Cricetulus griseus: one gene and its partners. The protein of the gene in region 1 interacts with the protein of each later gene in a pairwise test. Links are inferred from orthologs where the notes say so. Each region holds a gene or a part of one and is shown in the gene's direction. Other genes may lie near its edges. The genes, in order: Kifc3, Mfap1, Hsbp1, Deup1, Fam161a, Psmb1 and Dctn2.

Region 1 (3,500 bases):
TTGCTGACGTAGAATAGGAGTGTGAACTCCGTGCATTAATGTGACTTTGTGTTACTTTCACACTCAGGAAAATAGACTGAGCAGAGCAGGAGCAGCAGGGAGCCTGCCTGCCTTGCCTTGCTGGCCTCCTTTTCTGTCTTTCTCTTCCTCCTGAGCCCCTGGACTCGTCCATTCCCTGCCTACCTCTTCTCCCCACTCCCATTCTCTCTTCCCCATCTGTTCTCCATAGCTTAGTCTCACCTCTTCTGGTGTGCCCTTGCTCATGCCTCCTCTGGGCCCCGGCTCTCCACAGGGAGGCACCGACGTGGAGAAACACAGGGACAGGGTGATGGTAGAGAATGAGCAGCTGAGGCAGGAGCTGAGGCGCTGTGAGGTGGAGCTGCAGGAGCTTCGGGCACAGCCGGTGGTGCCCTGTGAGGGCTGTGAGCACAGCCAGGTAAGCTGACAGACCCCCTTCAACCTGGGTCAGTGGGCTCAGCTGCTAGACATGACCCTATTCCTATCCTGGCTGCCTTGGCTGCCTGCAGGAAAGCACCCAGCTCCGTGACAAGCTGTCCCAGCTGCAGTTGGAAGTGGCTGAGAACAAAGGCATGCTGTCGGAATTGAACCTGGAGGTGCAGCAGAAGACCGACCGGCTAGCCGAGGTAGAGCTGCGGCTCAAGGACTGCTTGGCTGAGAAAGCACAGGAGGAGGAACGGCTCAGCCGGCGCCTGCGTGACAGCCATGAGACCATCGCCAGTCTGAGGGCCCAGTCCCCACCGGTTAAGGTGAGTTGTACTGCCTTGAAGGAATCTTGGGCCCAGGGCCGGGCTTGCCCCTAAAAGGGCCTTGTCCCAGTGAACAGCCTGGTGTGAATGGCCGAGGGGTGCCTGCCAGCCTTGTGCTTTAGTTTGTTCTTTCCTCCCTCCTTCGCTGCCAGGGCAGGCTCTGCAGGGTGTTCTCTGTCTGCTAGGCACAAGTGTTCTTCTTGTTAGTTTGTGCCCAGCCTGGGATCAGTCGGGCTTCCCACTGGCTCCCCTTAGGAAGATGCTGGCAGGCCCTGCAGCATTCTGCAGAACCAAAACCTTTCAGCTCCTGGGAGCAGCTCCTGTTTCACCAGCAGCTGCTGTTGGGACAATCAGCCTTGCTCTGCTCTGTCCTTCCCTCTCTTGGCAGTATGTCATCAAGACAGTGGAGGTGGAGTCATCCAAGACCAAGCAGGCCCTCAGCGAGTCCCAGACCCGAAACCAGCACCTGCAGGAGCAAGTGGCCATGCAGCGGCAGGTGCTTAAAGAGATGGAGCAGCAGCTGCAGAACTCCCATCAGCTGACAGTCCAGCTGCGGGCTCAGGTGTGCAGGCCGAGAGGGCTGTAGTGGGGACTCCACACACAGACTTGGGATCCAGTTTCTCCTTTCCCCCGGTCATATAGTCAAGCTCTGTTTCCTCATCTATAACGTGAGCCGGTCACAGAAGCCCCTTCACCGTGGGGACACAGGGAAAAGATCATGAGGGGCTGTCCCTGGCAGCCCACAGGCCTGCTCAGTAGGTCCTGCTGCTGTGCATGTTACACTCTTTCCAATCTCCTGAGCACATGTGCCTTGAGGGTATGGGACTAGACTAGTACAGGGAGGTGATGCCTGTACAGACTCACAGCCCTGTAGGGGAAAGAAAGCAGGCCATTCCATCCCTCTGCACCAGCCAGGCATATGTCCACTCCCAGGAGAGGGGGGGGGCTTCCTCCCCACACTTGCCCTTCCCTTTCTTACCACCCCACACCCCTGAACCCTTTCCTGGCCTGGCCGTCAGATTGCCATGTATGAGGCAGAGCTGGAGCGGGCACATGGGCAGATGCTGGAGGAGATGCAGTCCCTGGAGGAGGATAAGAACCGGGCCATTGAGGAGGCCTTCGCACGGGCCCAGGTGGAGATGAAGGCAGTGCACGAGAACCTGGCAGGTGAGCCTGAAGCCGGCTCTGCCCATCCCCATGCCTCTGCCTCGAAGCCCAGATGTCTAACACCTTGGCCTCATAGGTGTCAGGACCAACCTGCTAACGCTGCAGCCTGCACTGAGGACCCTCACCAATGACTACAACGGGCTCAAGCGGCAGGTGCGGAGCTTCCCCCTGCTGCTGCAGGAGGCTCTCAGGAGTGTCAAAGCTGAGGTGAGCAAGATGCCAGTCACCTTTATTCAGAGCCCCTATGCAACAGTTTCTTGCCTTGTTCCCAAAAGGCATTCCTCTCATGAGCTCTTATCCATGCTACAGTATCCTTATATCTATTGTATCTGTCTTATATCTATTGTATTTGTCTGGGTCTTGTTACCTAGCCCAGACTGACCTTGACTCCATATTTTCCTGCCTCGGCCTTCTGAGTGTTGTAATTTCTGGCATCTGCCACCACACCTTGGCTCACTGTGTTTATTCTTTATTGCTATGCTAAGGATTGAGCCCAGGCCTTCACACCTGGTAGGCAAACGCTCTACCGCCAAGCTTCATGCCTAGGAGCTCACTTTGTTTTTTAAGCCATCCTCATACAGTATGAGAATAGCTAGTGTCTCTTAAGTGTCTCCCATGTGGCTGAGCCTTTTATAGCCATTGGTTTTTCAAGTTCATATGTCAGCTCTGCTGAGACAGGTATATTCTGGGAAAAGAAAATTGGCTCTTTAAATAATTACGTCAGTAATACCTGGATGTGGTGAAGAATCAAACCCATCATCATTCTCATTAAGGTCCCAGCTCCTTGGAACGGTTAGATGTGAGAGTAGCTGAATCTCACTGTTGCCAGGTACTCAAGTTTCAGGTCTTTGTTTAGTCTTTGCCTAGAGCTCGGTTTTTCTTATCTATAAGATGGGGGTGCCGGCTGTACTTCCTCGGGGATTATTGGGAAAGGTTGGTCTGCTGTGATAGTTTGTGTTGGGTACTCAGCCTGAGCAGGTAAGGGTAACGCATCAGACCAGGTGGCCAGTGAAGGGAAGCTAACAGAATCAGGTCTCTGATGGCAATGTGCCTGCTCCCCAGATTGGCCAGGCCATCGAGGAGGTTAATAGCAACAACCAGGAGCTGCTGCGCAAGTACCGCCGGGAACTGCAGCTGCGTAAGAAATGCCACAATGAGCTGGTGAGGCTGAAGGGTGAGTATCCTTGGCTGCATGGCAGTTGCTCTTAGAGCTGTACTCGCTGCTGCTGAAGATTCAGGGGCCCAGAAAAGTCGGGAAACTTGAAGACACACACCTAGTAAATGGTCCACCTTGGATTTGAACTTGATTATTTTAAAGCTCCTTGCCCATGGTGGGCTCCTCCCAGGTCTGAGGCATGTGGTAGGTCGCTGTGAAGTAGTGGCACTTGTTTCAGGTTGGGGCTTCACTGATATCTCCCTTGAGATTTAGGGGAGGGAGTACCTGCTCCATGCCAGATGTTGTGGTAGACACTGGGGAGACAGCTGTGTCCCCAGACCACAGCCCTCGACATGCTCATGTTGGCTGGGAGAAGAAACAGTGAATATCAGTCACCCAGAGAACCCTAC
Region 2 (4,283 bases), on another chromosome or scaffold:
TGTCATCCCTAATTTGGAATGTAGAGGCAGGTAGTTCAGGAATTCAAAGTTGTCATCAGCTATACAGGCAGTTCAAGGGAGGCCGGAGCTACGTGAACCCCTGTCTCAAAATAAGGAGAATAAAGAAAAAAAAAAGATGCATTATGTGTTGCTTGTTTCTAATAACTGATAATGCTGGTTTAAATTGCACTTGGCGGGGCTGGAGAGATGGATGGCTCAGAGGTTAAAAGCACTGACTGCTCTTCCAGAGGTCCTGAGTTCAATTCCCAACAACCACATGGTGGCTCACAACCATCCTTTATGAGATCTGGTGCCCTCTTCTGGTGTGCAGATACACATGGAAGCAGAATGTTGTATACATAATAAATAAATAAAATTTTTTAAAAATGCACCTGTTTTGAACTAAAGAAAACCTATAGATGGCCAGGGGTGACCAAAAACAAAAAAAAAACAAAAACGCGTGAGCCACCACCACCCGGTTTCATAATATAAAATTTCTGTAAGTGACACACCTGTGTGTTTAATCCTAGCAACTCAGAAATCGAGGGTGAAAAAACATACAAAAAAACAAAACACCTGCCTGGGCAACACAGCAAAACACAGTCTCAAGATTAAATAAAGAAGAATAAAGATTTCCATCTACATTTGCCTTTTTTAAGGCTTTTCTAGTGCTTAGGCTTCGTCCTTGTTTCGTTGATTGTAAGCACTCACTAATTTAAAGTTTGCCAGTTTTCAGTCTTCAACCAGCAAGAGCCCAATTGCAGAAAACAAGTGAAATAATTTGACAATTATATTAACAGCACCTTCAAGATCATCTATAATATTGAACTCCCAGAATGTTGTCTTTGTAGACCAGACTAGCTTCAATCTCTCGGAGATCCGCCTGCTTCAGCCTCCGGAGTGTGCTCCAACCAACAGATGGCCCTTAGGGATTTTTTTTTTTTTTAAAAGCAGGGTCTCATTCTGATGCCCAGACTGGCCTCCAAACGCCGCTATCCTGTTTCAGCCTACCAGATGCTAGGATTACAAACGTGACCCGCATATCCGGCTCAGACTCCACACTTCTGGGGTTTCAACAAGATGCACAAGCAGCCCCTCACTATCTGCTCCGTTTCTCCAAAACATAACAAAGGAAACCTTTAAGGGCGAGGCGAACCCTCCTGAACCTCACCAAAACCTCAAAGAAGCAACTGCCCGCCAAAAGGAGCTTCCAAATCTTCAGAGATTAAAGGCGGGAAACTTACCTACGAAGACGCGTAAAATTTCAGCCTGGCCCTTTAAGCAGCCCGCGCTCAGCGTCCCTCCGCAATCCCACAATCCTCTGCCGGCATATTTCCGGTTCCTCTAGCTCTGCCGGAAGTCGTTTCTGTCAGTCGCGCAGCAGCGTCTGGCGGCGGCGCTAGGTGGGAGGAGGTGTTGTGTTCCTTGGACTTCGTTGTTGGGATTTAATCAAATTTTGGGAGTCTCCACCGCGGCCGTCACCATGTCGGTCCCAAGCGCACTCATGAAGCAGCCGCCCATTCAGTCTACGGCTGGGGCCGTCCCAGTTCGCAATGAGAAAGGTACTGCCTCCCCTCCCCTCCCCTCCCCTCCCTCCTCCTGTCTGATCTTACCTCTTACTGATTCAGTATCCCTCAAACCTGCCTTAGATTGGCCGTTTCAGCCCCACCGACTCCGTCCCACCTGAATCCGCACCCTGTCATGTACCCTAGAGATTGAGGGATGCGGAATACACTTGCGTCTCTCTATCTGATCGACCTGCTGAGATCACCTCTCAAAGTAAAAAGTAAAGGAGGCTGGAGAGGTGGTGGCTCGGCGGTTAAGGGCACGTACTGCTTTCCCAGAGGACCCGAGTTCAGTTTCCAGCACCCACATCAGGCGACTCAACAACCACTTGTAACCCCAAAACCTCTGGCCTCTGCTGGTACCTGCACGTATCCACACACAGCATCGTTAAAAATAATAAAAAATAGAGCCACAGAGATGGCTCAGCCGTTAAAGGCTAGACTCACAACCGAAACAGTAACAAAAGTAAAAATATAAGTGAGCTGGAGATCTTTGTGTGTATGTTATATCCAAGCTATCTTTGATTTTTCCCAGGTGGTTATAAGGATTTCCACTTTTTTTTTGGGGGGGGGGGTCGAGACAAGGTTTCTCTGTATTCTTATTACATGTGTATGGATGTTCTGCTTTTGTGTGTGTATGCCAGCCACCATGTGGGTTCAGTACCCAGAGAGGCCAGAAGAGAGTATGAGATCCTCTGGAACTGGAGTATCAGACTGTTACAGACTGCGCCGTGTAGGTGCTGGAATATGAATCCAGTCCTCTGCATGAGCAGCAGGTACTCTTAGCTGCTGAGCCATCTCTTCAGCTCCAACTTGTTTGTGTTTTAGAGAACATCTGGTTCAGCATAAGGGTTAGAAAAATTGATAAAATTAGAATATTAAATTATGTTATAAAGGCTATCATAGCATCTCAGAGAGAGGAGCTGGGAACCAAGTGTTCAAACATTTGATCATGGGTCATGTTCTCATTCAAATCACCACTAAGGGTTGAGATGACAAAGCCTCAATTTGTAGGTGGGGGGCAGGGAGAGAGGGTCTGCAGTTTCATTGTTCACAGTCTTCTACTTTGTTGTCCCCGAGGTACCTCTTGATGTCTTAGTTTTGGTATTTATAAAATGCCTTCCCATGCCATAGTCTTTATAGGAACCCACTGATAGATGAATATGTACTTGGATAATAACTGCCATATCCTCTCTAGACTCTGCTCCATCAAGAACTTAGGGTTCTATCTGCAAAGGCCAAGAATTGCAGGGAATTAGGAAAGAGGTTACTGAAACAAATTATCTTTCTTGTCCAGGTGAGATTTCAATGGAAAAAGTGAAAGTAAAACGTTATGTATCTGGGAAAAGGCCAGATTATGCCCCTATGGAGTCCTCAGATGAAGAGGATGAAGAATTTCAATTCATTAAGAAAGCTAAGGAACAAGAAGCAGAGCCTGAGGAACAGGAGGAAGATTCATCCAGTGACCCCCGACTTCGGCGTTTACAGAATCGCATTAGTGAAGATGTGGAAGAGAGGTATGACAAGAGTTACATTTGTCTGAACTGAGACCTGTCATGGAGATGATAGTTGATAATATTTGTGCTTACTGTGTGCCATATATATACTATCCCAAATAAGTTACATTTGCTAATTCTTACAATCTGTAGAACATCTTACAAAATTGGTACTACTATACCTATATCACAGGTGGGGAACTAAGGCAGCAGAGGGTTAGGGAAGTGGCATGACCAAAGTTATATAGCCAAGGAGTAGCAGCTTCAGAAAACATCTCCACTAGTCGATGGTGGTGCACACCTTTGGTCCCAGCACTCGGGAGGCAGAGGCAGGTGGGTCTCTGAGTTTGAAACCAGTCTGGTCTACAAGAGCTAGTACCAGGACAGCATCCAAAGCCACAGAGAAACCCTGTCTTGGGGGAAAAGAAAATACCTCCATAGGCCTAATGACTCTAATTAGCTGATAAAGAGAAAACAGCATTGATTGGTCTGTTGCAGGGAGTCTTTTCACTATAAAAATATTTTTATAGTAAATATTTGAAAAACTGATTTTATTCATATAGGGTTTGGGTTTTTGTTTTGGTTTTTTGGTTGTGGGGGTTGGGTTTTTTTGTTTGTTTGTTTTCAAAACAGGGTTTTTCCTATATATTCCTGACCATCCTAGAACTAACTATGTAGACCAGGCTGGCATCAAACTCAAGAGATTTGCCTGCTTCTGCCTCCCAAATGCTGGAATTAAAGGTGTGCCACCACCTGGACATATAGTTGTTTCTTGTGGTATTGTAGCCCCGAATGACCTGAAACTTGGCAATGATCCTCCTGTCTCAGTCCTCTCAGCACTGACAGTACAGGTGTGAGCCACCACACCGTGCTCTTGTACTTGTTCTAAAGACTAGTAAGTAAAAATGCCAAGTAGGGCCTGGCAGTAATGGCTCACCTTTAATCCCATGCACCCGGGAGGCAGAAGCAAGTGGATCTTTTTGAGTTCAAGGCCAGCCTGGTGTACAGAGTGGGTTCCAGGACAGGTTCCAAAGCTACACAGAGAAACCCTGTCTCAAAAAAAAAAAAAAAAAGACAAGTTATGTTATGTAAACTCATGTTGGAAAAACTCCCAGTTAGACATCAGAGCAGGCAAGCTATCCTGAACTTTCCCAGTTCATAGTGTTTCAATTTGGGGAGACAGGCAGGGGGTCTCAGTATGTAAAATTGTTTGTCATGTAGG
Region 3 (4,202 bases), about 25 Mb from region 1:
CGTCCCGGTTCACCCCTGACACTGCCCCCTCTTGTACACAAATGGAGACCTGCACCACTTAGCATTAGGCAGCCATATGGTTGAAAGAAGCCGGGTTAGTTTCCATCACAGTGTTAGACCCCCGGAAAACTCAGGTATCCGGGGTCCCAGGCCACGACCACGATCACCCCAATCACCAGGCGGATTCGAGAGCTTGCTGCAAACTGCATGAGGCTTTATTGTTTTAACGAGCTAACCCCGTGTTAGCTCCAGTCTTTCACCCACCCGCCATGGCGGATGGCTAGCAAAGACAGCTCCTAGGGGCTCCCGAGAGATCTTGTAAGGCAGCGTAAGGGGAGTGTCTAGGGGTACGCACAGGCTCAGGATTGGTGTGCCCTCCAGGCTTGGAGGGCTTGCCCTGTGTTGATTGGCCAACTGGTTGTTATGGCCCATAGGCCCTCCCAGGATGGTTGCTATGCTTTGTACGTCATTGCTGTGTGCTTGCCCGTAAAGTACACCCAGGGTCGTAAAGCACAGCACCACCAGCTAACTTCTGATTGGTTCCTTGTCACAAGGCAGGCGTCTGACCTCTAGTGACTAAGACAAGGTCATAGCGAGCACATATTACTGTCATGGCTGCCCAAATGGGGGGGGGGGGGGCGGTCCCTTCAACAGTAATACCTGGCAAACTGGGTATACTGTGTTATGTGCCAATCCAGGATGGGGGTGGTAGCCTGAGCTTTCTTGTTTTGTTTTGTTTCTACAGTGCTGGTCTCTTTGTGCTAGGCAAGTGTTTTGCCACTGAATACATTCCATTCCACCCTCTTTCTGCTTGTTAGGTCTTTGCTTTGTTTTGTTTTGTTTCTGAGACAGAGTCTCAGTAAGTTTTCTCAGTCACACCTTGAACTCAGGATCCCTCCCAAGTAAGTAGGATATCGGGCCTCACATACTTGTTGGCCCATGTCTTCAAGAATAGGTCTTGGTGAAGAGCAGACATCCAGTTAGTGCACTCTTACCAACTCTAAGGGATTTTTTAAAATTACATTTATTTATTTTGTAAATTATATGTATATGTGTATGTCACAGGACATGTGTGCTGGGCAGAGGTCAATTTGTGAAAGCTGGGGCTCTTCTTCCAACATGCAAGATCGAACTCCAGAATCAGATTTGGTGGCAAGCGCCTTCACCCGCAAGGCCTGACTACATCCACAGGGAAAAAAAAAAAAAAAAACGTTAATCCCCGTTAACCTTTGCCCACTTCCGGTTTTCTCTCCGCTTCCGCTCCCTGCCGCATTCAGGGTAGAGCTGGGGCGGGGATGGAGGCAGAGCTAAAACCGGGGAGGCGGAGCCTGTCCTCAGGACGCTCTGAAGTTTCCCAGGTCCTTCCGGTACGTGACGGGAACTACAACGCCCACAATGCCTCGCGGTCCCGTGACTGTGTTGTCGCGAGAACTGGTGGCTTGGGGGGCGTCTGCGCCAAGAAACCGAAGTGTAGGTGACGGTTCCGAGACATCGCCGCCAAGCTGGGCACCGGGGAGATGGCCGAGACGGACCCCAAGACCATGCAGGACATCACCTTGGTGGTAAGCGTCAGGCTCACCTGGGTTCCGACACTCCGCGGCCGCTCTCGGCCCTGGCGTGGGGTGTGGCCAGCGGCCTCGGCCCGCGCACCTGCGGGGCTCGCCCTCCTGCGGCCCCGGCACGGACCCTCACGACCTGACCCGCGGGAATACCAAACCCGACCTGGCAGGGCCTCGCTAAAGGTCTCGCCCACCTGCCGGGACTCCCCTACCCCCTGGCCTCCCCTTCCTCCCAGGAAAATGGTCTCGGAATAAGCTGGAATCGGCGGACTTGTTCTGGTTTCTCGTAGGTGGAGACGCTCTTGCAGCAGATGCAAGACAAGTTTCAGATCATGTCGGATCAGATCATTGGAAGGAATATCCTTTTGCTTCGGAGGCAGCTTCTTAATGGTGGGGATAAGCGGGAGGTTTGCAAACCGACTTCAGGTAGTCATTATTTTTAATTATGTATATTATGGGTGCGCGTGAGTGAGTGAAGAGACTAAAGGCATTGGATCCCCTGTAGCTGGAGTTACAGGTGGTTGTGAGCTGCCGGGTGTGGGTACTGGGAACCACACTCAGGCCCTCTGCAAGAGCCTCAAATGCTCATAACCCTGAGCTATCTCTCCAGCCGCACTTGGAAATTTCTTCACTGATCTTGGCTATACTGTGTTCCTGAGGACTGCGCCAAGAGCCAGAGACGTGGCCAAGCTACCCAAGTTCCCTGTTGGGGGTCCTCCAGAACACCAGTAAAGGAGCTAGGCTATGTCGGCTGGGAGTGCTCACTGAGCACTCTTCCTCTCTTTACCCATGGGATAGAGTCCTCTGGGATTAATGAATGAGGAAACCGGGGTTTAGGAAAGTAACTTACCTGGGTCCCCTGTACCTCTCAGACCGCCAGGCGGTCACTGTAGCCAGAAGAAAGGGAAAGCAGCTGCTGCTTAAGCCAGGTTTCAGGGGCCTGGAGGATGGGGACAGAGTGGGGTATTGGTGTGTGGGCTCCTTAACTGTGCCACTCGATGACATGAGCAGTCGCATTGACGATCTGGAGAAAAATATCGCTGACCTCATGACCCAGGCTGGTGTGGAAGAACTGGAAGGGGAAAACAAGATTGCTACTGCACAGAAAAGTTGAAGGTAAGGGAGGGCACCAGTTTGCTGACGCAAAGCACACAAAGTGGCCATCAGTGTAAGGTTGATGTCGTTGATAGATTTCACCTGTGTCTTTTCCCAGCCAGTATCTCTGCACCCCACCTAGAAAGTCCATGTTTTGAAACTGCTCATGCCAAACTAATTCCTTAGGTAGAATTTACATTTCCAAGTTTCATTACTTAAAACTGAATCACTGCTGGGCATGTCCAGGCTATACACATAATAATGTTCACACTTAAAGAAGAGTGAAATTGCTGATAAAAGACAGAAGTCATTTAAATATTTATATATGAGTGTTTTGCTTGCATATTCACCTCATGCAAACCTAATGCTATGGGAGACCAAAAGAAAGCATCATATCCCTTGGGACTGGAGTTACAGACAAGACCTGCCACCTTGCGGGTACTCGGAATCAAACCTAGGTCCTTTCCGAGAAGAAAAAGTGCTCTTAACCGCTGAGCCATCTATAGTCCTTTGATGTTTTAATTGTAAGTTATGACGGTCCTCACTCATATCCTGGGCCCTGCATAGGACACACCTGGAACTTGGACATGTCTCTGGCTGGTGAGCTGGCAACTGAAGACCACCAGGTGATGTCATTTCTGGGCATGTGTTTTGGTGCCCTACCCTGGCCACTGGAAGATTATTTCATTGTTTTCTTTTACAAACAGCAGAGAATTCAGGTCACTTACATAAATATCTATTATAAATTCTAGAGACGTTTGTGACTTTTATCATGGACTCGACTCCTTTACTCTAGACTGAGTTAAATTTCCACTGAATCATTTCAGATATCAGATGACAAGCACAAAACCATTTAATGTAGTGAATTTCTTTGTAGCTTCACTTGTGTTTGTGGAGGAAGGGCCCTCAGTTTTTATTTTTTTTATTTTGACATGCTATGAAACCCTGGCTGCCTGGCCTGGAACTTACTGTATAGACCAGGATGGCCTCAGGTTCATAGAGACCCACCTGCTTCTGCCTCTGCCTCCTAGATTCTGGGATTAAAGGTTATTTCTGGGCTTGGCCTTGAACCAGCTTTTCAGTGACTGAAATAGGTTGTTCTGAATTCCAGGAGACTAGATGGGGGTTGGGAGGGTCAAGATACATAAACAATACATTGGGTTGTTTAACTATGAGATGCGCATCAGTGCTTGGTATGTGCTGTGTCGTCTTCAGTCCTATTTAGAGAAGAGCTGCAAAGTGTCGAGTGGATCTTGGAAGCTCTAGGGGATTGTGCTATGTTGTGACAGAAAACCCCCATGAGTCAAGAACTGAAAGATTGTATGATTGAAGATGTTCAACTGACAGGGAAACACAAAGACAGGAATGAAAATAGGAAGTGGATTCAAAGAATTTTGAATAAAGATGTCCAAATAAGGGTCTGGAGAGATGGCTCAGGTGTTAAAAGCAACGTATGCCCTGTGGAAGACCCAAGTTCAGTTCCCAGCAGTCACATGAGACCTCACTCACCACTGTCTGCAATTCCACCTCCAGAGGATCCAACACCCT
Region 4 (3,980 bases), on another chromosome or scaffold:
AGTGCGTTATTGTGGTCAGTACCACAGATTTTAAATCAGTTCTTGTAGAAGGACCTGTTTTCACTTCATGGTACAAAGACTCCACAGACGGGAAGCTAAGGCCTATGTCTGACACTTCTACAGATAAGCTATGTGACTGTGGACCTGACAGACGTCCCAATGTGTCTCTGTCACACCTCCTAGAGTTATGACAGACATCTCTGTGAGTCTATTTTCACTTGTTGGATCCCTAAGCACTTAGCATTTGTTCAAATTACCATATCCACAATAATTAGCATATTCTAAAAAAATGGTGTTTGTTAGATTTGGTTTGGTTTCAGTTTTGTTTTGGGGGGTTGTGAGTGAGTGTGTGTGTGTGTGTGTGTGTGTGTGTGTATGTGTGTGTGTGTATGTGTGTGTGTGTGTGTGTTTAGCTTTTTTGTTTTGTTTGTTTTGAGTTTTGTTTTGTTTTGTTTTTTGATAAGTGTCTGAAACTCACTATATAGTCTAATTGGCTGCCTGAACAATCCTTTTGACTCTGCTTCTTGAGTCCTGGGATTATAGGAGGGTAACAATATTTTTTGTATAAGTACAACTGTAATGTGCTAGCTAGTCTTATGTCAGTGTAACACAAGCTAGAGTCATCTGAAAGGAGAGAACCTAGATTGAGAAATATCTCCATAAAATCTGACTGTAGGACATTTCCTTAATTAATGATGAATAGGGAGGGCCCATCCCATTGAGGATGGGGCTATCCCTGGGCTGGTGGTCCTGTGTTCTACAAGAAAGCCGACTGAGCAAGCCATGAAAAGCAAGCCGGTAAGCAGTGTCCCTTCGTGGCCACTGCATCAGCTCCTGCCTCCAGGATCCTGCCCTGCTTGAGTTCCTGTCCTGACTTCCTTTAGTGATGGACTACAGTGTGGAAGTATAAGCCAAATAAACCCTTTCCTCCCCAGCTTGCTTTTTTAGTCATGGTGTTTCATCTCAGCTATAGAAATCCTGACTGAGACAGGTAGTATTGTCTCTGGAATTACCTTTTTTTTACTTAAGGGATTAGCCTGAAGCTTTGAGGTTTGTTTCTATTTAAACAATTGAGCCATTTGAGGAAGCAGCAAAGCTACCCAGGATGATGCAGGGATCCTTCCTGCTCCATCTTCCTCTTGTGAAGCTATCTCACTTTTCTACATTCACCAGAGCTTCTCCTTGTGAAGCAGAGCTTCAGGAACTGATGGAACAAATTGACATCATGGTGAGCAACAAGAAGTTGGACTGGGAAAGAAAGATGCGGGCTTTAGAGACACGATTAGACCTTCGTGATCAAGAGTTGGCCAATGCACAGACTTGCTTGGATCAGAAAGGCCAGGAGGTACTGAGTACACATGTCAGCAAAGTGTTCACGCACCAAACTCATTTGTCACTTACAATTCTGTCAGCAAACTTGGTGTTAAATGTATGCTATCAAATAGATGCAGGGATAAATCAGATATTTACTAATGGAGACACTCACTACACCAATGCTGACAATAAATGTAACAGACATTTAAGGTACATGTGAAGTAAGAGTGTTTGGAAACAAAAGTAAAAATGCTTTGGCTCCTACAGAAGCCCTGCCATGGAGACCAAAGCTGTCTTTGTTCAGCAGAGCCCAGGAGTGTTTGCTGCTTCTGATCTGCTGGAAAATGTTTTGTGAACAAGCATGTCAAGAGTTAATTGCCAAAGGAGAGTGCATTTGATGAAAGTGTGTGTGTGTGTGTGTGTGTGTGTGTGTGTGTGTGTGTGTGTGTGTGCTTGTGTTTGTGTGAGTGTTCTCATGAATGCATAGGTGTGTGGGTGTGTGTGCTCATGTGTGTGCAAAGGTATGGGGGTATGGGTGGGTTTGTTCTCCTGTGGGTGTGTGCAGGTATGTGTGTGTGTGTTCTTGTGTGTGCCTGTGTGTGTGTGGGGGGGGGTGCTGGTGTGTACCTGTAGTGCCCACTTAGAATGGCTTCCTTCCACTCCTGTAACTGCTCACTCCTGAGCTGGTGCACATAGGAGATTGTGAAAGACCTTGGGGGTTTCAGAAAAACATCTGCAGACCTACATGTCTGGACTCTTTTGGGAGTCAGGAATCATACGTCATCGCAGAAGTTTTCATCAGCCACTTTCCAGCTCTTTCTGTGGACTTATGGATGGTTTGAGTTTTGGCAAAGCTGAGGGCGTTGGTGTTCTGCAGGTGGGTGTAGCTGTGGTTTCCCTTGGCTCGAAAGGCAGGTCCAATGGTCCTGGTATATGCAAGGACCTACAGTGACACAGATATATAAGTAGGTGTCTCATCCGCATTTAAACAGAGTAATGCAAACCCTTAATAAGTGCTCTTAAACATTTTTATTTCCTCATTAATATGTTAGTTTTTATAAAATGCAACAATTATCCATTGGCCATGAAACTGGTAAGGAATGGAACCTGACCAAAAGAAAATCTTTGAGTTACCTTAGTAGAAGTTCTACATGAACAGCAATGGCACAGCCTGCCAAACAGATCATACAGAGTAAAGTCTAAATCTTAATTTAAAATGCAACAGTGACAAGGATCTCTTGCTAAATATACTTCCATGCTATCCTAATACACAGCCAGTGGACCGGGCTAGAGATGTTTGCTTTCTGTGAATTCAGTTATTAGTAGTTATTTTAAGAACTGCAGGACAAATATTTACTCTTGGCTCAGTGCAGCAGTTTAACTTGGATTGCACTTCTTCTTTGCACATTTTCTGATTTTTTAAGGTAAAATTCAGGAAAAAAGCTAATTTAAAGTTTATTTTTAATGCAGGTGGGGTTACTTCGACAGAAGTTGGACAGTCTAGAAAAATGCAATTTAATGATGACGCAGAACTACGAAGGACAGCTACAAGCCCTGAAAGCTCAAGTAAGAGAACCTGTTAAATGTAACATTACATGTTTTGACCTATGATATGTTAATTTTTTAAAAAAATGCTTTGCATATAAGCAAATGTTCTTGTATCTTAATTGCATGTTCATGTCTGGCTGCCATTGTCTTCTGTGTCCTGATTGTCTCTCCTACAAGGCTGTCAACTCAAATACCATCTGCATGGCCTTCCCTATGACAGGGCACTAGACAAATAACTTTCTGTCTCTCCAGAGGCTATTTTTTATGATTATTATTAGTTATGAGAACAAAAAACGAAATTCTCTTCTATGGTTATTTCTGGGGTTTCCACTGCAGCCTAAAAATATGGATGGTTGATACTATGAAGTAAGTAGCAGAAAGTGAGTGAGTGAGAAATTACGTAGCTGAAAGAACAGAGCTGGCCTTGCTGCTGGTGGCTGTTTATAAATGGCATGCCTCTGCCTATGCTGTGAGAGGGTACCAATTTCTTTGTCACCCATCACTGCAGCTCCCCACGAGGCTTGCCCCAAAGTCTTGTCTCCTAGCAAAAAAAGTCTCATAGGGCAGGAGTCACCTCAACATCCCAGGCCCAGCAGCTGCTTGAGTCCTTAACCTAGAAAAGGAATCAGTAGGGTGTGTGGTGTGATTGTGAACTCTGACCACCAACGTTTCTTGGAAAGCAAAGAGTTCATATGTAATAACCTGGTTAAGGGAGCCTGGAGTATCCGATGCTCCTCCTTAAGTGCTATAAAGGGGATACAGCCATTAAAAATGGAGTAGGAAATATTTGAACCCATTACTTAACTGTTATTACAGAATGTTTCCGACTAGCTGTCTATATTTTGCTTGCAATTCAGGTATGTGCCATGAGAAGGCAGCTTGTACTATGAATCTGCACACAGTTTTCTGAGACCAGAAGCATCTAAAACTTAGGGCAATCAATCTTGTTTTTTTTTTCCCTCATACAAATATAGCAACACAAATCTGAATTCACCTGACAGCCCAGTGTGGGTATGTCTGAAGCTGCTGGACAGGTAGACTGGCTGTGTGTTTCTCTGCCCTCTTCAGCACAGCTGAAAGCCCTGGACATTGTAAGACAGCATGTGTACCTGGTAGAA
Region 5 (3,500 bases), on another chromosome or scaffold:
AGGAGAGTTTATTTGAGTTTTGCTTGCATTAACAGTGAGTAGCCACATGCAGACCTCAGTGTGTGTGTGCAGCTCCTCAGGCCTGTCTCTGCTTCCACCCTGCTGTGTCTCCCTTTCACACAGTTCTTCCAGGCCACAGTCCCCTGCTGTCTTCAGTGTAGATGACATAGGACCTGTTAGAGAGTCTGTGGGGGAGAGAATGAGCCACGGGTGTTCTGTCTGAAAACTGCCCACTGTTCTCCTAGAGGGCATATGTTTATAACACACTGGCAGTTTTACAGCCTGAGTTTTAGGTTTTCATTTATGTTAGGATCATGGGCCTTTTCCTTTGTATTCAGTAAGATCAGGTGGTCCTTCAGCAACCTGCCCTTCCAGACACAGCTCAGTCTTGCGAAAGGAAACACTGCTGTTTTCCTGTGGTGGAAGCTTACATATTCTTTAACTGTACATTCTTTCTTTCCACAAATATGTACTGGACATCTGTTCTTGGTCAGGCTCCTTCCTAGAAGCTGAGAACAAGAAAGAACCCTGCAAATAAACTCTTGCCTTTGTACAAACCCTTCTCCAGCTGGAGCAGGCCCGGGTATACAGATCAGCCAGGACGGGGCAGATGGTGTGAGTAAACACTTCTGGAGAAATGAAGTGGAGAAGAGGACTCAGTGAGTTGGGAGAGTGGCCATTCCAAAGGGGATAGTCCACGAAACCTCTCTGGAGGTGGTGTTTGAGTGGAGAGTGGGCGAGTATGCTGTGCAGACTTCTGGAGTGCGAGCATTGAGAAAGGGGGCAAATGCAGGGCCTTGGGGGAACTCTGCTCATCCCCCCTGCCCCCATCATTTTTTTAAGATTTTTATTTATTTATTTATCTATTTATTTATTTATTTATTTATTTTGTATACAACATTCTGCTTTCATGTGTATCTGCACACCAGAAGAGGGTACCAGATCTCATAATGGATGGTTGTGAGCCACCATGTGGTTGCTGGGAATTGAACTCAGGACCTCTGGAAGAGCAGCTGGCGCTCTTAACCTCTGAGCCATCTCTCTAGCCCCCGCCCCCATCAATTTTTATTTACGTGAGGCAGTTGTCTGTGCAGGTCTAAGTGATTACCATGTGTGCGCAGTGCCTGTGGAAGCCAGAAGAGGGCGCTATATCCCTAGAACGGGAGTTAAGAATTGTGAGTCACCACGTTTATGAACCTGGGACCTGAACCTGGGTCCTCTGCAAAAGCAACAAATTCTCCTAAGCAACTCATGTGACATACATTAAATAGGTCTTTGGCCCTATGAGTTGTTGATAACAAGTTTCTACATTTCATTTGTTTTCTAGAATTTATTCCAAGTGGGACAACACCAGCCTCTCAAAAACTTTAAAAAAAATAGCAACAAAAATCTGAGGCTAGATAGATGGCTCAGTGGTTAAAGCACTTGGTGCTCTTGTAGGGACTGGGATTTGGTTCCCTGCACCCACACCAGGCAACTCACAACCACTTGTAACTCCAGCTTCAGGGGATTGAACCCCCAGCTCCATGGGCACCTGTACTCACCCATGCACACAGGTATGCACATAATCTTAAAAATATGGCCCTCTGTCCATCCATCCATCCATCCATCCATCCATCCATCCATCCATCCCCTCCTTTCTCGTTGTGTTGGGAATAACCCCACAGTCTGGTACATGCTCAGCAGACACCTTACAGCCAAGGCCCTTCTGCAGCCCAAGGTATGATTTGTAATGGACTCTTCTGAATTTTCCCATTGGAAAGGCTCAACAGACTTATTTTATGAAATCATATCATTATTTGAGGAAGGGTTTCTCACTGGAATCTAGAGATCACTGATGAAGCTTCAGGTCCTGTCTCATCTCCCCAATGCTGGGGTCACAAACTTGTGTCACCACGCCTGGCTTTTTTATGGCTTCTTATGCTTGCATGGCAAGCACTTGACCAACTAAGCTGCTTCTGTAGCTCTAGAAAGTGAGGTTTTTATCTCTTTAAAAAGAACAGAACGATGGGTAAAAGGGATGAGAGAAAGTCCAGTCAGAACCCTCCAGTCCTGACTTGTATGTGGAGTGTCTCCTGCATGCAAGTGTACATGCAGTATTTCTCCACGCTCACTTCTCCTGCCCAAACTGTCTGCCATACACAGGTGTTACTTTGCTTGCTGCCCACAGCAGTGACCCTTCTGAAACTCTCTTTGCCCCGTGTCCTTCTCCCCTCCAAGGTCATCCCAGCCTGGGTCCTTGGAAGAGCAACTGAGAACTGTCCCTGGGCCTGCCCTCTCTCCACTGCACACCCTTGGAGCCCCGAGGCAGGGACCCCTCAAGAGCTGGCTGTAGGTACAGGAGAGTAGCTTCTCTCTTGTCAGCAAAGATGCACAACTCAGAAGAGGCTTCTGGTTGAAATCTGCGTAGCAGTGTCCCATTCTGTCTTCTGCAGTGTTAAGTGTCCCAACTTGAATATTTACTGTCAGTTTTCTAGGTACCTAACCATTATAAAATGGATTGAAGCCAGGCTTGGTGGAACACACCTTTAATCCCAGGGAGCAGAAGGCAGAGGCAGCCTGCCTGGGCTACAGAGTGGGACATATGTAAGAACCAGCGTTTGGATCAGCATCAATTGTTTATTTCATTTAAAATAGCATATAATGGATTTCTCCTCCCATCAGGCTAGTGGTAACAGCTTTCCCAGGGAAAAAGAAGATGTGACAATCCAGGACATTGTGGACTTTTCTGATGTTTACCACTCTAATGAAGAGTATTTCAGGAAACTAAGAGAGCTAAAGGCCGCCCATGCAGAAACCATGGCAAAATTAGAGAAAATGTACCAGGACAAGCTAAATATAAAAGACGTCTGGCCAGTGATCACCAGGGAAGATTATTCTAGTGTCTCCTCTAGGTAAGTTTGTGCTCGGTGTCATCTGAGGACTGACCTAAGATAAATATTTAAACTAAGTATGAAACAAAATATCCTGGAGTATTTGCTTCTAAATATCAGGTCCTCAGCAACAGTGAGAGCCTGTCTAACATACATTTGGGGTTTGATCTCCAGCATGGTTTGGAAACAAAATTGAACTTAAGGATGACACTCTTGCTGAAAATGCTTTCCTGCCTCCCACCAAAAACTGAGCATGACCTCCTGTTTCTGAGACGCTGGAGTGTCATGTCTTTGGGTGTCAGATCTCAGGCAGGCCTGGCACACAGGAGATAGACAGACTAGGTCCTTCCTAGTATTAATGATATATAGAGGTGGGATTTTATTCAAAATGTTTAATGGCTTATCAGTTTATTAAGTTACCTCTTGCTTTGAGGGTCATTTAGTGGCCATCTGTTTGCTTGTTTGTTTTTATTGTAATTTAATGTGTTTTTCCTGCATGTTTGTCTGCACCACATGTGTGCCTGGTGCCCATGGAGACTTGTGAGCTGTCATGTGGGTGCTGGGAATTGAACCCAGGTCCTCTAGAAGAGCAGCCAGTGCTCTTAACTGCTGAGCCATCTCTCCTGC
Region 6 (4,075 bases), on another chromosome or scaffold:
CCAGTCGAATAGGATTTTGCACTTACAGTGTTACCCTCGGCAAGCTCCCTACATCCTCCACTTAACGCCATAAAGCTGAATGGTAGTAGCAGCTGCCTCCTAGAAATTTGTGATTTCAATGACACGAATAGCATACCCTCAGTGAAAGTTAACTGGTATCTGAAGAACGACAACGACACAGGGGAGGTGGAGTCACAAATTCATTTACATTTTAGCTCAGCGACGAACAGCTGACTTCTGGGCTGTTCCAAGAAAACAGCAGTTGTCTCTTAGGTTGCTTCTTAACGTTTGATTGAATTCCAGCGTATCTTGATTTCTTCTTGATATGGTTCACCTAGGCAGAAAGGAAGTTCTGCTTATTCCCTTTCCCTTGGATTTAGCACTATCAACGAGGTGATAAGCTCCTTTAGGTTAGGGGTGTGTGTGAGAGATGGATATTACCTGTGTGTGTTATGTGCCTAGGGTGTTGACCTCTGCATGGATTCTAATAAGTACAATAGTATTGGTTACCTATTTTCTTCTAAATGAAACATTCTCTCTTGGAAGAATAGTGAACCTTAAGACATTAAGAAAACTTAACAAAGGCCTGACAAGAGGCAACTTAAGAGAAGGAGGTTCCTTTTGGCATACGGCTTGAGGGGTACAGTCCACCATGGGGAAGCCTGACGTCTGGAGAAGGGGGGAGTCACACTGCATCCGCAGACCGGAAGTCTAAGGAGATGAATGTTAGTTTGCTTTCTTTCTTTTTTTCCCCCTCCTTTTTGTTCAGAAAGCCAGGCAATGGGATGGTGCCACCTATATTTAGGGTGGGTTTTCCCTTCTCAGCTACACTGTCCTGAAATCACCTGCATAAGCATGCCCGCGAGGTTTTACTAGGTGATTCTAGATTCTGTCAAGTTAATACGATCCATCAGGCTCTGGCTGGCGAAACCTAGTATCGCTTCCTGGATCGCGTGGCTGCGTATACCACACAGCTGACCATGCATCTTGACCACTAGGACTTGAACATAGCAGGAGCTGCAACTCCTCAAATGCCACTTCACCAATGTGACAATCGGAGCTGTCATTGCTCTGCAACTAGTTTTTGTTTTTTTGTTTGTTTTTGGTATGGCCATGAGTGAATCGAATGTTTTCTTGGGGTTGGAAAACAGGTCTCCTGGAATTAATTGGTGGACCCCAAGCTGGATATGTAGCGGGGCATAGGCACAGACCTCCAAGAGCAACGACGAGTGCGGGCTAGAGGAGCCCGGTGGGAGGGGCGGGTCGGGTCGGAAGTGGACCTGTCCCGGCGGCCATTTTGCTGTGAGACAGCAGGAGCGCGGTGTGATGCTCTCCACGGCTGCTTTCGGGAACCCCGAGCGGGAGCTGGGCATGGGGCCTCACGGCTCCGCCGTCCCTGTGCAGATGCGTTTCTCGCCGTATGCCTTCAACGGAGGGTAAAAGCTGGGCTCACCTGGGGCGGGCGGGCGGCTGTGGGGATGCAGCCTGTCGGGGCGCTCCGCAGCCCGGCTCCCGGAGCCCTGCACGGACGCCTTCGGGATCGCATGCTTCCCGCATTCCTCAGGGCAGGCGCCCACCCTAGCCCTCTGCTCCTAACACTGTCGTCTCTTGGGGCTTGAACACGTCCCCACAGCCAACGGGCGAGGGGGGCCCTGTCCTCAGCACTGATTTGTCCTGGTGGCTTTGTAGATCACTGTTTTGTTTTTTTTTTCTCTTAATGCTCGTTTGGTTTAAGTTCAGGGATGAAATAGGGGTTGTTTTGTTCTACTCTGCGACTTGGCCTGCTGGGCAGGTTCTGCTGAGCTGTGTCCCCGGCCTTAGACGGTTGACTATGTGTGAGTGTGTGTGTGTGTGTGTGCGCGCGTGTTCTGCTGAGCTGTGTCCCCGGCCTTAGACGGTTGCGTGTGTGTGTGTGTGTGTGTGTGTGTGTGTGTGTGTGTGTGTGTGTTCGTGTTCTGCTGAGCTGTGTCCCCGGCCTTAGACGGTTGCCTGTGTGTGTGTGTGTGTCGTGTTCTGCTGAGCTGTGTCCCCGGCCTTAGACGGTTGCCCCCCCCCGCTCTCTGTGTGTGTGTGTGTGTGTGTGTGTGTGTGTGTGTGTGTTCGTTCGTGTTCGTGTTCTTACTCTGAAATTGCTTGCGCCTTTAAATTATCCGCTTTGTTCGAAGGGATGTCTTCACCTCGAATTTAGGACCTTTGGCAATATAGGTAGTTTTCATCAATTTTATACCTATAAACAACCAATTATCAAAAAAATGTGGCTTGTTAAGAAAAACATTCAGGCAGTGGTGGTGGCGCATGCCTTTAATCCCAGAGGCAGAGGCAGGTATGGATATCTGTGAGTCGAAGCTAGCCTGGTCTACAGAGTGAGTTCCAGGACAGCCAGGGCTACACAGAGAAACCCTGTCTCGAAAAACAAAACAAAACGAAGAAGAAGAAAGAGGAGGAGACAGAAACGAAAAACAGTTGGGATAATCCCAGCACTCGGGAGGCAAAGGCCAGTCTGGTCTGCAGAGCCAGTTCCAGGGCTATAAGGAGAAACCTGTTTCAAGAAAAAAAGAAAAGAAAAAAGATTAATTATGTCTTTATGGATGCTGAAAATACACTATATAGGCAGTGAAATACTAATTTTAGCCTTGGTTGTGGCTTTTGAAGAACAAATGTGAGTGTGTGCTATGTGGGTTCCTTTCAGTTTCTTGAAATAATATGTTGAAAGAGACTCAAGGTGGTTACATTTTTGTAAGCTGGCTGCAAGCAGTTAAGGGAATATTTCATAGTGTTAGTCCTTGGCTCTTGGCATTTAAACAGCTTTGTCTAAGAGCTTGTTCGAATTAGAACCAGTTTTAAATTCTTAACTTTCGTTTTCCAGTGTTGGTCTTAACTCTGCATGTGAACACTAAGTACTTACATTGTAAGGCTTGTTAATAGTGTTCTGAGTGCAATACTCACTATTTACCTTTTAACCTCCTGTAGTTCCTCTTCATCTGTTACTTTCCAAACAGTTACTTACAGTTCTATTACCCCGCCCCCCTTCCTTTTAGAATTTTTGCAACTAGCCGGACAAGCAGCCTCTGGTTCAAAAGATGGTGTTAATTTCTCTTTGTAGCTTCCAGATTTTGTTACTGAAGACCTTTACATGCCTAATCCCTGGGAACATAATTCCAAAATCCATTTCTGTAACCTTATTTCTCAAAGGCCCCTACATTTTGACTTCTTTGGGAAAACATTTCTAAAGTGCATTTTCTGTTTTCACCGTAACTCATGTTAGTATAAAAACAAGCAGGGTGGTTATTCCCTTTCAGTCACTTCTGCTCCTTAAAAAGTGCCCCTTGTGATTATGTCATCACTCTGCCTATCTTGGGATGTTTTAGCTGTTTTTCCCACAAAACATATTTAGGTAGTTATAAAAACTCAGTTGCATACGTTGCCGATGTGTTTTCCTTTTTCTCCCTCTTCATCCTGCTTCCTATCTCATCACTCTGACTGGAACAGTATTGCTATCCCATTTCATATACTGTATTATTGCCAGAATTGTCTGAAAACCTGTTTCAAATGGAACTTTTCTCATTCTTGATTGTATAAGCTTTGGGACTCCTTGCTAAAATTGTAAAATTTAGCTTGGCACTTGGGATCTTCTACAACAGTTCATCACAGTGTGTATGTTTCTAGTTACACAAAGGATCACCTCAATTAAGTTGCTTGTAATGTCTTTTTACCTTCTGTTGCTGTTCATGGTTTGTGGAATGTCATCCTCTCTGCTTTAGTACAGAACTGGTTTCTGTAAAATACTGGGTAATGTTTCCTGGGTGTTTATTTCCTAGAAGGTTAACTATTGTAGGTACTTTAATGTGAATTATGTAACACAACAGGTACTGTCATTACCATCATGAAGAATTTATCCAAAGTCTTACAGCTATTAAGTGGCATGAATAGGCCTCTCCCTTAAGTAACAGTGCTCAGGTGCTTAGTCATACAGTACAGCCCCACCATATGCCACAGTGATGGTTGTTCACTTACTAGACCAGTCATGCAGCAGTCAAGTGTCAGGTGGACTTTATAGTTGTCAGCTCATTTTATC
Region 7 (3,141 bases), on another chromosome or scaffold:
CTGTTCAATTCAGTCTGCTGGGGGCAGAAGAGACGACTCAGAGGTTAAGAGCACTGGCTGCTCTTCCAGAGGTCCTGAGTTCAATCCCAGCACCCACATGGCAGCTGATAACTGACTGCACCTGGAGTTCTAGAGGATCGGACACCCTCACATAGACATACATTCAGACAAAACACCAATGTGCATAAAATTTAAAAATAATTTTTTCAGTCTTCGGTTGTAAACTCCACACTGGGGGTATGGTAGGGGGCTGGAAGGATTAAGAGTACTGATTGCATCAGGATAGCCAAGTGGTCTAAGGTGCCAGACTCAAGCTCAGCTTCCTGGGGCACCTGGGAGGGGGGATAGGGTAGGGAAGATCACTGGCTGCTCCTCCAGAGGACGCAGGTTCAATTCCCAGCACCCACATGGGTCCTCACAAACTGGTGTAACTCCAGTCCCAGGGGACCTGATGCCCCCTTCTAGCCCCATGGTCACTGCATGAACATGGTACAGGGACACACATACAGTCGCAACACCCATACATACATATAAATAAACAAACAAGCAAATAAACAAATAAATAAAACCACCTGGCTGTAGCTCTCTTTGAGGGGATAGCCATTTTTTCCTGCTTCATTTCTGCCACCCTCACTATCCCACCTCTTTTCCTGTCAGACAACTGTGAAGGAGTCAGCCATCGAGGAGAAGCTGACCCCTGTGGTGCTGGCCAAACAGCTGGTAGCTCTGAAGCAGCAGCTGGTGGCTTCCCACCTGGAGAAGTTGCTGGGACCAGATGCTGCCATCAACCTCACTGACCCAGACGGAGCTTTGGCTAAGTGAGTGCCTTCCTTGTGGAGAATCATTGCTGAGGGGAACTGTGGAGGACCTCAGCCAGACACAGACAGCAGGAGGCGGGAGGAGTTAGGAGGCAAAGGAGACAGAAGTAGTCCTCAGCCCCAGGTCATGCTGTTAATGTTCTCCTGACCCAGGCGCTTACTGCTGCAGCTGGAAGCAACAAAGAACAGCAAAGGGACTTTAGGGGGAAGGGCCACAGGTGGGACCCCTCCAGACAGCAGCCTTGTCACTTACGAACTACATTCTCGGCCTGAGCAGGACAAGTTTTTGCAAGCTGCCAAAGTAAGTATCCCTTTGGAGGATCAGGCCTGGGGATAGTTCTGGGGATGCCTTTGATTCCCCTTGAAGTTGCACTCTCCTGTCTCCCTTGCATATCTGTTTTTTGAGGCAGGGTCTCACATAGCCTAGGCTAACTTGAACTCAGTACCTCCCAAGTGGTACATCTAATTCAAATTTAAATTTAAAACTGTGCCTAGGCATGTGTTTCAAGAAAGGAGTCCCTCAGAGCAGGAAAGCAGAGGGTGGGGGTTGGGAACCTCACCTCCTCCTTCTCCATAGGTTGCAGAACTTGAAAAGCGCCTGACAGAGCTGGAGGCCACTGTCCGCTGTGACCAGGATGCTCAGGTCAGGGGCTGCCCCTCAGGTCCAGTGCTCCCCAGAATCTGGGAGGGGTCAGCTAGGAGGTGCCAGCTGGAACCAGGAGTGATGGAAGAAGGTAGTTAATTCTGTGAGGTATGAAGACTGATTTCTGTCCTCTGTTTCCCATCAGAATCCCCTTTCTGCAGGTCTACAGGGAGCCTGCCTTATGGTGAGTGTGCAAGAAGCTGGAGTGTTTGGATTATAGGGGCGATGGGAATGAATTACTTAGAAGTACTTTGGGGTTTATAGTGCTATATTAATTAGCTCCCATGAATTTTTTTTTTTTTTTTTTTGGTTTTTCGAGTCAGGGTTTCTCTGTGTAGCTTTGGAGCCTATCCTGGCACTCGATCTGGAGACCAGGCTGGCCTCGAACTCACAGAGATCCACCTGCCTCTGCCTCCTGAGGGCTGGGATTAAAGGCGTGCACCACCAACGCCGGGATCCCGTGAAATATTTAAGACCTTTTCCTAGTCTGATTCTTTTCCTGGTGACACTTGTGCAAAACCTTCCCCCACTCTCTAGGAAACTGTAGAACTGTTGCAGGCCAAGGTGAACGCCCTGGACCTTGCAGTTCTGGACCAAGTAGAGGCTCGGCTGCAGGTATGGAATGGAGTACCACCTGGGTCCCAAGTAGCTGGGACTTTGGAAGCCCTAGGTGTCTTCTCACCCTTAACACCTGTGCTTTCAGAGTGTCCTGGGAAAGGTGAATGAGATTGCCAAGCACAAAGCTTCTGTGGAGGATGCAGACACACAGAGCAAGGTCAGAGAGACCCTCCCAGCTCTATGCAAACCCTGCTCCCCCCAAGGGCCTCCTCTGAGTGCTAACATCAGCCTACAGACTCGGGTCTTATCAGTATAAGAGAAAGTCAAGGCAGTATTTCTATTCCTGGTCAGACCATGATCTCAGCATCCTTTCTGGGCCTTGTCATGTTCTTCCAGGTGCACCAGCTTTATGAAACCACACAGCGCTGGAGTCCCATTGCCTCCGCCCTCCCCGAGCTGGTACAGAGACTAGTCACCATCAAGCAGCTGCATGAGCAAGGTGTGAGGCTGCTCCCTAGGCATGGGGTCCTTTGTGTCCCTCACTCAGCAGTGGCCTCTGCTCTCAGCCGTGCCCCTCTTCGCTTCTCTTATAGCTATGCAGTTTGGTCAGCTCCTGACACACTTGGACACCACTCAGCAGATGATCGCCAGTTCCCTGAAGGACAACGCCACTCTGCTGACCCAGGTGTGCCAATCTTTTGTTCCATCGAAGACCTCAGAGGTTCTCCAGCCCTGCCTCAGAGGGCTCTGTTTTAAGCCTTTGAATGTCCATTCTGTTTTCATAGTCATAGGATCTTTGTGCCCAATCTAGTTCTCTCTAGCCTTGGACTTTGTTTTGGCAGAAGGTGGGGATGTCTCATTCTGGCTGGCTTGAAACTTTTTGTAGACCAGGCTGGCCCCAAATTTGTGACAATCCTCATTTCCTCCCAAGTGCTGGGATTACAGGAATGTGCTGCCTACCAGGCTTGACTGTTTGAGACAGGTCTTGCTATCTACCCCTAGCTAGCCTCAAAATCACAACTAAACAACCCTTGCTGCTTTAGACTCCCAGGTGCTGGAATTAGGCCTGAGCACATCCTGCTTTAATTTCACCTTCTTTATTCATCTTTTGGTTTCTAGTGG

Evidence for each region.
Region 2: the proteins of Kifc3 (region 1) and Mfap1 interact in binary tests that used the Homo sapiens proteins (3 or more experiments, as listed by UniProt). The two-hybrid records come from large-scale screens. The link is inferred for Cricetulus griseus from reciprocal best matches to the Homo sapiens genes KIFC3 and MFAP1.
Region 3: the proteins of Kifc3 (region 1) and Hsbp1 interact in binary tests that used the Homo sapiens proteins (3 or more experiments, as listed by UniProt). The two-hybrid records come from large-scale screens. The link is inferred for Cricetulus griseus from reciprocal best matches to the Homo sapiens genes KIFC3 and HSBP1.
Region 4: the proteins of Kifc3 (region 1) and Deup1 interact in binary tests that used the Homo sapiens proteins (3 or more experiments, as listed by UniProt). The two-hybrid records come from large-scale screens. The link is inferred for Cricetulus griseus from reciprocal best matches to the Homo sapiens genes KIFC3 and DEUP1.
Region 5: the proteins of Kifc3 (region 1) and Fam161a interact in binary tests that used the Homo sapiens proteins (3 or more experiments, as listed by UniProt). The link is inferred for Cricetulus griseus from reciprocal best matches to the Homo sapiens genes KIFC3 and FAM161A.
Region 6: the proteins of Kifc3 (region 1) and Psmb1 interact in binary tests that used the Homo sapiens proteins (3 or more experiments, as listed by UniProt). The two-hybrid records come from large-scale screens. The link is inferred for Cricetulus griseus from reciprocal best matches to the Homo sapiens genes KIFC3 and PSMB1.
Region 7: the proteins of Kifc3 (region 1) and Dctn2 interact in binary tests that used the Homo sapiens proteins (3 or more experiments, as listed by UniProt). The two-hybrid records come from large-scale screens. The link is inferred for Cricetulus griseus from reciprocal best matches to the Homo sapiens genes KIFC3 and DCTN2.

Annotation. Positions count from the first base shown.
Region 1 is NC_048596.1:171,316,985-171,320,484, reverse strand, and holds part of Kifc3 (kinesin-like protein KIFC3), read left to right. Parts: intron 1-292; coding exon 293-436; intron 437-527; coding exon 528-767; intron 768-1,155; coding exon 1,156-1,329; intron 1,330-1,786; coding exon 1,787-1,934; intron 1,935-2,010; coding exon 2,011-2,141; intron 2,142-2,996; coding exon 2,997-3,108; intron 3,109-3,500. UniProt on the Homo sapiens protein: Minus-end microtubule-dependent motor protein. Involved in apically targeted transport. Required for zonula adherens maintenance.
Region 2 is NC_048599.1:56,936,784-56,941,066, forward strand, and holds the start of Mfap1 (microfibrillar-associated protein 1), read left to right. Parts: upstream 1-1,483; coding exon 1,484-1,562; intron 1,563-2,862; coding exon 2,863-3,082; intron 3,083-4,283. UniProt on the Homo sapiens protein: Involved in pre-mRNA splicing as a component of the spliceosome.
Region 3 is NC_048596.1:195,967,628-195,971,829, forward strand, and holds the start of Hsbp1 (heat shock factor-binding protein 1), read left to right. Parts: upstream 1-1,402; 5' UTR 1,403-1,517; coding exon 1,518-1,562; intron 1,563-1,849; coding exon 1,850-1,916; intron 1,917-2,554; coding exon 2,555-2,673; 3' UTR 2,674-2,675; intron 2,676-4,202. UniProt on the Homo sapiens protein: Negative regulator of the heat shock response. Negatively affects HSF1 DNA-binding activity. May have a role in the suppression of the activation of the stress response during the aging process.
Region 4 is NC_048597.1:129,100,711-129,104,690, reverse strand, and holds the start of Deup1 (deuterosome assembly protein 1), read left to right. Parts: upstream 1-1,180; 5' UTR 1,181-1,207; coding exon 1,208-1,345; intron 1,346-2,059; exon of another isoform or gene 2,060-2,257; intron 2,258-2,784; coding exon 2,785-2,880; intron 2,881-3,856; exon of another isoform or gene 3,857-3,970; intron 3,971-3,980. UniProt on the Homo sapiens protein: Key structural component of the deuterosome, a structure that promotes de novo centriole amplification in multiciliated cells.
Region 5 is NW_023276807.1:83,748,174-83,751,673, reverse strand, and holds part of Fam161a (protein FAM161A), read left to right. Parts: intron 1-2,469; exon of another isoform or gene 2,470-2,586; intron 2,587-2,664; coding exon 2,665-2,894; intron 2,895-3,500. UniProt on the Homo sapiens protein: Involved in ciliogenesis.
Region 6 is NC_048595.1:294,438,057-294,442,131, reverse strand, and holds the start of Psmb1 (proteasome subunit beta type-1), read left to right. Parts: upstream 1-1,275; 5' UTR 1,276-1,326; coding exon 1,327-1,436; intron 1,437-4,075. UniProt on the Homo sapiens protein: Non-catalytic component of the 20S core proteasome complex involved in the proteolytic degradation of most intracellular proteins. This complex plays numerous essential roles within the cell by associating with different regulatory particles.
Region 7 is NW_023276806.1:130,449,077-130,452,217, reverse strand, and holds part of Dctn2 (dynactin subunit 2), read left to right. Parts: intron 1-657; coding exon 658-818; intron 819-971; coding exon 972-1,119; intron 1,120-1,395; coding exon 1,396-1,461; intron 1,462-1,606; coding exon 1,607-1,645; intron 1,646-1,998; coding exon 1,999-2,076; intron 2,077-2,164; coding exon 2,165-2,236; intron 2,237-2,415; coding exon 2,416-2,518; intron 2,519-2,612; coding exon 2,613-2,704; intron 2,705-3,141. UniProt on the Homo sapiens protein: Part of the dynactin complex that activates the molecular motor dynein for ultra-processive transport along microtubules. In the dynactin soulder domain, binds the ACTR1A filament and acts as a molecular ruler to determine the length.